Linked DNA regions of Oryzias latipes. The protein of the gene in region 1 interacts with the protein of each later gene in a pairwise test. Links are inferred from orthologs where the notes say so. Each region holds a gene or a part of one and is shown on either strand. Other genes may lie near its edges.

Evidence for each region.
Region 2: the proteins of ccnk (region 1) and RNA-binding protein with multiple splicing interact in binary tests that used the Homo sapiens proteins (3 or more experiments, as listed by UniProt). The two-hybrid records come from large-scale screens. The link is inferred for Oryzias latipes from reciprocal best matches to the Homo sapiens genes CCNK and RBPMS.
Region 3: the proteins of ccnk (region 1) and cdk18 interact in binary tests that used the Homo sapiens proteins (3 or more experiments, as listed by UniProt). The two-hybrid records come from large-scale screens. The link is inferred for Oryzias latipes from reciprocal best matches to the Homo sapiens genes CCNK and CDK18.

The regions. Positions count from the first base shown.
Region 1 is NC_019882.2:3,583,480-3,587,870, forward strand, and holds the start of ccnk (cyclin-K), read left to right. Parts: upstream 1-1,500; 5' UTR 1,501-1,638; coding exon 1,639-1,647; intron 1,648-2,099; coding exon 2,100-2,332; intron 2,333-2,534; coding exon 2,535-2,616; intron 2,617-2,709; coding exon 2,710-2,841; intron 2,842-2,947; coding exon 2,948-3,053; intron 3,054-3,127; coding exon 3,128-3,185; intron 3,186-3,317; coding exon 3,318-3,487; intron 3,488-3,564; coding exon 3,565-3,773; intron 3,774-3,863; coding exon 3,864-3,894; intron 3,895-4,005; coding exon 4,006-4,074; intron 4,075-4,372; coding exon 4,373-4,391. UniProt on the Homo sapiens protein: Regulatory subunit of cyclin-dependent kinases that mediates activation of target kinases.
Region 2 is NC_019876.2:8,091,986-8,095,636, forward strand, and holds part of RNA-binding protein with multiple splicing, read left to right. Parts: intron 1-2,249; coding exon 2,250-2,400; intron 2,401-2,949; coding exon of another isoform or gene 2,950-3,032; exon of another isoform or gene 3,033-3,651.
Region 3 is NC_019863.2:24,047,166-24,050,816, forward strand, and holds part of cdk18 (cyclin-dependent kinase 18), read left to right. Parts: intron 1-574; coding exon 575-698; intron 699-1,030; coding exon 1,031-1,151; intron 1,152-3,651. UniProt on the Homo sapiens protein: May play a role in signal transduction cascades in terminally differentiated cells.

The DNA.
Region 1 (4,391 bases):
GTAACTTTGGATTTATGAATGTGCAATTTGTATAAAAAAACAATAAGAGATTAATGCTGTATGATTGTTCTTTTTATGAGATGGACAGTGGGTGAGGCCAAACATAACATGTTCTAAATAGAGTCTGTGTCAATGTGGGCGGATATGAAATTGCAATCTTTAGACCAGAGACTAGTGGAAAAGGGACATGATCAAATAAATGTACAGCATCTTCAGGGTGTTCTTGACAAAAAGAGCAGGTGACATCAACATCCTTTTTGAACCTTTGGAGATACAGTTTGGTTGGGTAGACTTATGGATTAGTTTAAATGAGATTTCTTTCACTTTATTGGTTAAGAAATATTTTTCTGGTAGATTCCAGATCTTTTTCCATGATTGGTAAACTCAATTATTCCAATAAAGTACATAGGGAATGGACACAACATCCTTCTGAAAGAGTGAGCACATGCGGCGATTTGTGTTACGTGAAGAAGAAAAACAGATTTGACCTATTTGTATTTTAGTTGGGTCAATTGGTAATAAAGTTGGACTCTGCAATGATGTTAAAAATCACATTTTTCCACCAGTGTGTTACTGTAGCGTTTCCTCTTTTCTTTTTTTTCTTTCAAAACTTTATTGAAGATGTACAGGATACAAAATCAAGTCAGTTTTTAAGTACACAGATAAAAAAAGAATAACAAAATGTGCCAGGGGAACATAAAGAATAAAGGACGAAAAAAGATTATAAACAAGAGCAGTCAAAGCAGTAAGTTGCTATTCTATACATTTAAATAACGTTTTCTCTTCTTTTTTTTTAAACTTTATTGTACAAAACGTAAGTACGATACAAAACACAATTTTACTAAATAAAATTCAGATATGCCAGGGGAGCATACATACTAAATACATTTTACATAAAAACATTCAGGTTTCTGCAACTTTCATATAGACATACTGCTTTCTGATTAAGACTCTTGGAGATGTTACTGATATACATTTCAATTTGTTTGATTAAAATAGGGAAAAATAGAAGATGGAGAAAATTTAAATGTATGTATATAAAATTTGCCAAAAATAATAACAAGATTAACTATGAGTTTTTTTGTTTGACTCCAAATTTTTATTATGAAGGCCAAAAATTATATGTTCAAACTTTAGATTAAAGTTGGGGTGAATGCGATTTCTAATAAATTGCAAACATTTTTTCCAAAATATTCTAATTATAGTACAATTCCAAAAAAGATGGTCAATTGTTTCTGGAAATTCTTTGCAAGAAGTACAGTTAGGGTCAATTGTTTTAATGTATTTTAGCATAAATTGATTGGTGCGGTAAATTTTGTGAATTATTTTATAAGAAACTTCTTTCATTTTATTATTTATCATAAATTTTTGGGTCACAGTCCAGCCTTTCTTCCAGATACTGTCGGGAACAAAACGTCTCCAGTAGGTTCTACGTAGTACACGGTAACGTTTTCTCTTCAAGCAGCGCACGCGGTTGCTTGTGACGTCATGACGTCCGTCAGCCGCACTTGACGTTCTTCAAAATGGCGATTCTGTTGTGCCAGCGGGTGTTCTGTTCGAATCTGTCGCTAACTTTGGGTGAATAACTGAAGTCTCGTGTCGCGTTTGTGCTCTCCGGTTAATCCTGTCGTCGCCTACATGATAAAGGTACGTGCTGCGTCCTTCCGCCGGAGTCCGGTGACTCCAAATTTGACTTATTTATCGTAGCTTGTCGGCTCCGGCGGCTTTGCTAGCCGTTAGCGGGTACATTCATTCAGTTTCATCGCTTTACTGGCCGGCATGTTTTGGGAACATCCCCCCCCCCCCCCCCCATTATGAGTTTTTGTTTTTTTTCTTCAAAAAAAAATCCCAATTTTTAGGTTTATTTATTAATATACTTGCATCATTAAAGAGAAAGCGGTGAACACTGGTGATCATTTTCTAAGCTTTTATTAATTTGTGAATCTCTGGCTTTTATTTTATTTTTTGGACGTTTTTACACGACTCTCTAAATAAATTTAGGCCCATTTAAATACAAAATTGTATTTAAATCAGAATGAAAGAGCTACATCTGACTGACCAAAGTTGTCCATAATATCGACATTTATTGCTATTTTCAGCAGTCCAGCAGCACAGCAGGTCCATCCACCACCTCCCCTCAGTCAATGAAGGAGTCCAAGGACTTCTCGGGCGGCCAGTCCTTCCTGGATCACATCAAGCCGTGCTGGTACTGGGACAAGAAGGATTTAGCCCACACCCCTTCCCAGTCCGAGGGTCTTGACCCCGGGACCGAGGCCCGGTACAGGAGAGAAGGAGCCCGCTTCATTTTTGACGTGGGGACTCGACTCGGCCTGTATCCTCGATGGGTTCAGTAATCTGAGCAACGGGTCTCAGTTTGCAGCTATTTGAATGCATTCTCTGTACATTTAGCTCACTTGTTTATCATGATTGGGCGATTTTAAGGCTTCTATTGTGCATGAAGTAAACTCCTATGGTGAGGGATTTACTGTTTCTATGCTTCTGTCCTTCTGAAATGGATTCTTAACTGCCAGCAGACATTATGACACTCTTGCAACTGGCATCATATATTTCCATCGCTTCTACATGTTTCACTCCTTCAAGCAGTTTCCCAGATATGTATGTTCATGATTTATTTACTCTTTTGGTATTTTTTTTTTTTTTTCATTAACACAAAAGCTAATGTGGGATTTTGGGTTTGTGTTTCTACAGGTGACGGGTGCCTGTTGTCTTTTCTTGGCTGGGAAAGTGGAGGAAACGCCAAAGAAGTGTAAAGATATCATTAAAACAGCTCGCAGTTTACTCAACGATGTCCAGTTCGCCCAGTTTGGAGATGATCCGAAGGTGCAGTTCTATTTTAATAAACAGTTTTTTTTTTTTGAATCTTTCATGCCACACATTTCTGTGAGTCTGAAGTGCAGGACAGTCATGTCTGACCTTGTTCAAACAGGAGGAGGTGATGGTGCTGGAGAGGATTTTGCTCCAGACCATCAAGTTTGACTTGCAGGTGGAGCACCCTTACATGTTCCTGCTGCGTTACGTCAAACAGCTGAAAGGTGGGACGGGGTTCGTGCAGAACCGCTGCCCCAATGGAGCTCAGAAAGACTCATGTTTTGTTTTGGTGCTTCAGGAGACAAGAACAAAGTATGCAAGGTGCTCCAAATGGCCTGGACCTTCGTCAATGACAGGTAAGAGGTGCTGATTCTCGCATTGAGCTTTTAAGAATCTTGTAGTTGTTGCTAAATGTGTGTTTGAGTTAGAATAAATCGATCTACACAGTTGAGATAAGGCCTTCACTGCTTTATTTGCGTCCCTGGCAGCCTGTGCACCATGCTGTCCCTGCAGTGGGAGCCGGAGATCATCGCCGTGGCCGTCATGTACCTAGCAGGCCGACTTTGTAAGTTTGACATCCAGGAGTGGACCTCCAAGCAATCGTCGCGGCGTTGGTGGGAGCAGTTTGTGCAGGACGTCCCAGTTGAGCTGCTTGAAGGTTAAAAAAAAAAAAAACTTTATTGTTTTCCTCAAAAACGTGGGGCTTTCAGTCACAGCTTCCTTTGGTCCCTTCAGACATCTGCCACCAGATCCTGGACCTATATTCTCAAGGGAACAAGCCCATCCCTCAGCAGGTCCAAGAGAAGGAGAAGACGGCGGCTGTCACACCCACTGCGTCGCCGGTGCCGCAGGGGCAGCTCCCAGTTTCCAACCCGCCTCCCCCACCGCCAAAAAAGACGTCGCCGCAGGGGGGCAGTCCCGCACGGCAGCTCAAACGCTCCCACGTAAGCAGGAGTCGTCTACGCAGCAGCTGTTTAACATCATTACGAGCTGTCAGATGGTAAACTCGCTTTTTTTTTTGTAAATTCTTTCAGACATCCCCTAAAGATGAACCAAAGGCTCCAGGTGAAACAATTTCTTCGTTTTTTCGCAGAAAAAATCTGCAAGAGAGAATATTTTAAATATTTGTTCCGTTTTTTTTTTTTTTTATTAATTTTTTTAATTTTAAATTTGCAGAACAAACTGGATCAAAAATTCCCCGACTGGAGAGTCCCATGCCCCCACTACCGGCTGTTCAACCACCAGGTGAGCAGCTGTTCCTGAACTTCTGTTTGTGTTGAACCGAACAGGATTAGTGTTTATACTCCAGTTTGCTGATCTGATGGCAGATTTATTGTTTGCATGTTTGGCTAGATAGGAACTGAAGCTCATAAATCAGACTTATGTAATCAGTTCGTCTGTTTCAAAACATGCAGGCTGTTCCAGACCAATCTGATTAGGGCTTAATCCAAACGAGGAGGGCTCCTCTTTTCATTGTTGGAGAACTGAGGTCATTCGAGGTCATGAAACATCTAACTTGTTGTTTTTTCTCCTCCTGTACCAGCTCCTCCTGCAGAAGCAGA
Region 2 (3,651 bases), on another chromosome or scaffold:
CCGACTTGTTTCCCCCCCCTGACTGATTTGACCTTTGTGCTGTTAAGGGTCTCTCCCAAACCACCAAATGACTCTTAAATTGAAGCCGTTTTTAGTTCTTGTTAATTATACGCCTTTTATTTTTTGCTCCAACTAAATGGAGCAAAAAATATTGCTTTGTTTTATAGATGTAAAATGTGTAATTTTTTGTTGTAAAAAAAAAAAGATGCATATAGTTTGCATTTCCCAATCATCTCCTCTAGGGCTGCACGAAATGAGGAAAACTCGCGATATTAGTGATCAATATTGCGATGACGATATAACTTGCGATAAATGAACTACTAACAAAAACAATAAAAACATTTCAATTTCACTGCAAAAGTTTAATTTAATAAGAGTCAAAATTCCTTAAATTATTCTCCAAATGACCTTCGTCTAATTAGGAGGGCAACATCTAACATAAGAAGCTCCATCTGATTGGTCAACAACATAAAGGACTCCATCTGATTGGTCAACAACATAAAGGACTCCATCTGGTTGGTCAACAACATGAAGGACTCCATCTGATTGGTCAAATGGAGAAAGCGATTTATTCAAATCATTAAATAGTTCAAGTTGCCATAAAATTGTTTTAGCACATTTAAGGTTTACCATTTTTGCCGACTTTTGCGATATGATTATTGCACAGCTTGAAATCGCGCTAGCGATAAATTTGCGAGTAATTGTGCAGGCCTAATCTCCACCCATAGTTTGACGTCCATCTGCGATGCGAGCCTTCCCCGTCGGCATCTGAAGAATTGGTCTAAATCAAAGATGCGTCGACGCAAAACGGGAGTTATTTTGGTTCGATTCACGTGCTTTTGTTGGAAATGTCATTGTGCTGCAGCCAGGTTTGTGTCGTCAGGTGACAAATCTTAATTCCCAACCAACACACACTGTAGGCTGCGATGGAACAGCAGCTAATTTTATCACGGGACCCCGAAAGATGAAAAGCATTCAAAGTGACAGCTCCCCGTGCAGCCACGTCCCCCCCCACCACCACCTCCTCTGGATATCTTAACAACAGAAGTGAAGACGTGGTGTCATTTAGTCCTCTGGATCGCTTCATCTAACAGAAGGCAGTAAATCTGTCACTTTCTGCCCATTAAATATCAAATCAACACATGACAGCTGAGCAGAATTAGCCACTCGGTCAGACTTTGGTCTGTAACTGAGCTCATTCAGAACATCTTTTGGGTTGAGAACCAATCTTAGCCCCATCAAAATGACCCAAAAAAAAACAATTTGGGAGAACCAATAAGCCGACATCATAATTAACTATTGAAAATAAATAAAAGCAAGCTTTAAATAGGAGGAAAAAAAGCACATCGATACATTGCTTTAAAATGTCATAAAAATTCACGACTCTTCTTAATACAGGAAAAGATAATATCTTAACCCTTTTTAAAATCCATTGGACATATAGACATAGCCATTTATACACAAACAAAACATATTTTAGAGTTATTGTTTTATTCAATCTATAAAATGTACAGAAATTATATTATTTTATACTTCTATATATTGACTTAATATACTTCTAAAATTGTTCCACTTAAGTTTGCTTTTTTTCAATTCTGCTGTTGACAGTAAAAATATTTAAACTGTGTTTCAAAATCTTTGAAACATCCTTGATTGTTTTGTTTTAGAGATAAAATTTTAATCCTGAACTTTTCATGGTTTTTTGATCAAACCGGTGGCTCTGTGTTTGTTCAATGTCCGCCCCAAAACCTAAAGGTTGTGGGTTCAAATCCCCGATCGACGCACATCAAAGTCTCTGAAAATGAGACCCAAGGCCTCCCTGATTTATGCTTAGCTTGAACCCTTTAGCACCAAAACTTTAGCTCCAGTGTTCACATCTTTTATTTTTTATTTTTATCTTTTTAATATCCATAACTCTTCTATTGTTTGTGCAACTGACTTGATTCCAGTGGATTAGAAAGCGGAGAAAAGGAACTTTTTTCCACTGAAATGCAAGATTTTACGTTAGAGAGGTGTTTACGCATGAAGAGTTATGTCAAAGAGCGTGTTATTATGGTGTTGCTGGTTTTAAAAGATTAATAAGACAAAAAACTGATATTGATTGTTAAATAATAACAAAATTGTCTATACTTAGAATTCTGTTCATATGTTAAATCACACGTTACTTTTTCAAGAAACCGGGACTCTGTGTTCCCTCAGACTTCCTTTTTTAACATTTTGTTCTTGCTAACCAGTCTTTCCGATTGCAGGGCGTCCGTTTTGATCCAGAGATTCCCCAAACCTTGCGGCTGGAGTTCGCCAAGGCCAACACCAAAATGGCCAAAAACAAGCTGGTTGGCACTCCCAACCCCCCTCCATCTCAGCAAAGCCCCGGGCCGCAGTTCATTAGCAGGGATCCATGTGAGTACTCCCCATCGTTCACCCGCCCGTCCGTTAGCCCGGATAACTTCGTCTATCTGTCTGTGCTGTTGTTTCCTTTGGCTGAAAAAGGTCGGACAGCTGTTTCCTTTGTATGGCAGTTATTTTTTTCTCCCCTCATAATTAGGACTCTACATAAGTATGAAGAATACCGTTTCTTTGTAGCAAGAGTTATTGTTTTCTGTGATGGAAATGTTTCATTCCATGCAAACCCACTTATTTTCATGAGATATTAATCAAACATTTATACACTGTTTGCTTGAAACAACCCAAACGCTGTTCTTTGAAAAGACTAGTTTGTTTCAGTAATTATTAACTGGTCTTGTTCAATACAATAAGTTCTACTCAAAACCCTGGGGGGTTTGTGAGTTTTGTCATTGCAGCTTTGTCTTTTTTTAAGGCTAGTTAAACATTTTCTTAGAGTTAAAGATTGTTTTTTTTTTTTTTTGCAAGACTCAGCCACTGATAGTTAAACATAGACCAGCTGTGGTTATACATTCTTCCTGAATGACCAAAATGTTCTTATCTCAGATCTTTTCTCTGCCAGAGAAGGGGGTGGTACTTGGTGCCTCAGAGGGAAATGGAAGGAAGCGGTTAATGAAACCCTGACGTAATCACCAGGAGAGAAATTTCTGTCATTTCCTGTTAAGACATGTTTAAATCAGAATCTTTCTGTTGTTTTTTTGTTGTTTTTGTCTGATCATGCTTGGATAAACAGTCACCGGGAGACATGGAGAGCACAGGAAATCCTACTTAAAAATCTACCACTTATCTGATGTTTTCTCCAATGAGTTGCCTCCGTGTCGTGATTTTCTGCGTTCTGACGTGTGCACTTGTCTTGTACCACTCAGCACCTCCTTCTTTACTCGAGCACTTTTTGTTGTCACCATCACTTTGCACTTATCGAGTAAATCAACATGTCTGAGGTGGTTTCCTCTGAAACGTATGGCCTTATGCGTGCAAACTGTTGGGCAATATCACACAAGCGCATTTGATCCGCATCAGAACTGAAGTTCTACGATGTTTCGCAGGTATGGAAACTCTGGTGAAGTTCTTAAACAAGGGGTTCCAATTCAAGGATTCAAGGGAGTTTTTATTGCCATCGTCAGTGAACAAAACAAACTAGGAATTTGCTGCGGTGCCAGTGTGCCACATACAACACTTACGAATAAAAAAGAACAACAGTAAGCAAAATAAATCACTTGCAATCCAATCACTTGCAAGTGAACTTTG
Region 3 (3,651 bases), on another chromosome or scaffold:
GGGAGCGGACTACTTATTTCTATTTTGTTTGTTACTTCTTTTGTTAAAGTCACTTCCCTCAGTTTATACTAATATTACTAATTTAAAAATAGCCCCCCCCCCTCCCCCCCCCTCAGCGATATCATCGTCCATCCCGATGGTTGACAGCAAACATCGTCAACGGCCAATTTAAGGGACATCGCCCAACCCTAGTGTGAACACCGCCTGTCTGTCTGAGCAGTGCTTCTTCTTCTGCGTTACTGTCAGCAACAAACACTGATACCAACACCTACAGTGCCCTCTAGTGATTGTTGGTGGGGAATTAACAAACAAAGGAGCTTATTTATTTTTTAAAAATCACATATAAGTCGTACCTGAGTATAAGTCGCACCCCCGACCAACAATGCAAAGAAGCCCAACTGAAAAATATGACATTTTCTAACATTTTGGATGTTTTGTCTTAAAAGTGTCCACTTCTTTCTCTGGACTAAATCTATTTTTAAAAATGTAAAACATTAATTTCCCGCCCTGTGTAGATAGATACATGGACGCTGAATTCTCTTACCTTTTCTTTTTTTTTTTGGGTTCCCTGCAGATTTTCATGTTCCAGTTGCTACGCGGTCTGGCCTACTGTCACAAAAGAAAAATTCTCCACAGAGACCTGAAGCCTCAGAACCTGCTCATCAACGACAAGGGCGAGCTCAAGTTGGCGGACTTTGGTAGGAAGACCTAAAACCCTTTGCAGTATGGGGCTTCCTTCCACCAGTGCTGTTTAAAAACACGCTGTTTGTCAGCTTCATTTCATTTTATTAACACGCTGGGGGCTTCCTTCTGCCCGGATCACTTCGGCAGCCTTTATGTCCCGTATCATAGCAACCAGGCCCCTCTCTCCCGAGCTTCCTCAGTTTGATGCTGAAAGTATGAAGCCAAACACACCAGCGGTGTTGATGGTTTTTGAGCAGCTACACCCAGACAGTCATAGAAATTACTGAGGAAATGTTCATTTGTGAAATATTACATATTTATTCACTGTCAATCCTGTGCTGTTTAGGTCTGGCACGAGCCAAATCTGTCCCCACAAAAACGTACTCCAATGAGGTGGTCACACTGTGGTATCGGCCGCCCGATGTGTTGCTGGGATCCACAGAGTACTCCATGCATATCGACATGTGGTGAGTCATTTACTCCGGGTTCATGGAGACTCAAAGAACCAATCACACAATTAACCTCCACAACTTTGTAGAGATTTAAGTCATTCTCACAAGCCTCTTAGTTTTGGTGTACCACAGGGCTCTGCTCTGGGACTACTACTTTTAGGCTGCTAACCTTAAGTAACACTTAAACACCACATTCCTTTTTTTTAAATCATCAGTAAAAAGTGGGGTAGTTGTTAGCATTCATGCCTCACAGTTCGAAGGCCCTGGTTCAAATCCCGTCTGGATCCATCCTGTGTGGAGTTTGCATGTTCTCTTCATTGATGGGTGGGTTTTCTTCGGTTTCCTCCCACGTTCCAAAAAGCTTCATATATGAATTGTCTCTAAATTGCCCTTAGGTGTACATGTGAGAGTAAGTGGCAGACCCAGGGCTCCAGACTGCGAGCAATTGGTCGCATTTTGCGACCAAAATTTGAGAGTGTGCGACTGAATTTTACATCCAGTCGCACATGCGCGACCAGTAAATTTGCCTCCCCCACCCTTCGTATTTTTTATACATTAAATGTGGAAGGGGCACGTCAATCATCAATGAAATAATCAATGAGACGCAAGCCCACACGGACGCAGGCAGACACACACACTCGCGCACATACTCATGAAACGCGAGCACGTACACTCTCGCGTGATACCTGTCTGTGAGGCGGCCACTGCGTGTGAGAAGAATAGGGAAAGCCACTGTGAGTGGCTAAAATGCGTGGAGGGGGCGGGGCCTAGAGATAATCGAGTGCGCGTAAACATCTGTGGGAAGGAAACTGAGACAAATATCACAACCTGATATGTGCGTCTGAACTATGGGTAAGCGAACTATTGATTCGTTCTTCCGACCTGCGGCTAGTGTACCAGTGCCAGAATGTACAGCAGGGGTCTCAAACTCGCGGCCCGCGGGCTATTTGCGGCCCCCAAGATGATATTTTGAAGGTTTAATGTTTAATATGAAGGTTTAATGTTACTGCAGACCGCCAGTTTGTATGAATGACACTTTTTCATTGTCGTGCGCGGAGCTGACCAACCAATCACAGTGGGGTATATGACTCTTGGGGGCTTGACGATGACAGGGCCTGAAAGCAGGACACCTGACAGCTCCCTCCCCGTACCACATTAAGGAGTTCCTTACTTTCCTTTAGAACGTATCTATTCGCTCGTAATTTTCTAAATACATGCAGTCCGTGCTGAACTTTTCTCTGGGTCACACAGAACCGGAGGAAGGTTTAGGTTTTGGTTACGGCGGCGCATCAAACGGTTATGCACGGCCGTTACGGCAGCACACCGCTCCCGCGGGAGTCGGGTCAGCTGAGGAGAATAAATGTCCCACACCTACATGCGTGACAGCTAACGGGGCTTGAACTTTAAACACACTCGAGCAAAAACAACATTAGTTTTAGACTCACTGAAAATACGTGGGGAAAATGCAACGACAGACGTGTTTGAGATGAACCGGCGGCTCGCCTGAATCGTTGGGGAGACCAGGCGGGGGGGGGCTGTGAGATGAAGGCGAATCTGCAGCAAGACTGAAGGAGAACAGGAAATTGGAGTTGTCCTTAACATTCAATTTAGTTTCAATATTCTTCTCCCCCTTAGTATGATCTGTGTTATTATATATTTTATGATTATTTTAATGTTTTGTGATGTATGTAGCCTTTTTTAATGAATTGGTATTTTAAATTATTTTAATTAATCACTCCACTACAAAAACCATCAGGACACATGTCCCATAATGCATTGTTTTGTAGTCTGTAGGGCAGCTTTCAGTCAGTTCAGTTTCCAGCTGTGTCCGGGTAGGTTTGCCCCTTGCTCCCACCCCTTTGTCACGATATTTTTGTGATGATTGACAGTTGATGTTGGAGCAAAAACAAAAATATATGTCACACACCAGGGGTTCTGTGCAGCGTTGAGTTCACCTGGGTGATCTCAAACACGCTTATTGTGCATCTTGGCTGCACCTATTTGGTGTCACAAAGATAAATTTCCATCCGTTTTCTTTACTTATTTGTACTGTCATGACAGCGATGGTGCTGTCAGTTTACCTTCTTGTTGCATCTTCAAAAGTGCAGAATAAAATGTGACACTGAATTAGAAACAGCACATTGTAATTTCTGCATCTATTATTAAAGTATTTATTAGTAATACAGGGGAAATTAGTAGATTTGGTTAGAATGTTGATTTACGGTATGCGCCCCTAAATTTTCTGGTTGAGCCCCTAAAATTTTCAGTTGGGGGCCACTGTGCTCCTAGTGAAAAAAGTTAGTCTGGAGCCCTGGGCAGACCTGTTTAGGGTGTACTCTGTCTCGCCCAACAGTAGTTGGGTTGACCCCAAAGGTGGCTTATGACGATGGATGGATGGTGAATGACTTCATTCCTGCTAATTCTCTATAAATGTATCTGTTGCTGTGACTCAGCTTTACTTGTCCATTAGGTACAAAATCAACCAACTTCAAGGTTTCTTCTCCAAAATGCAGAT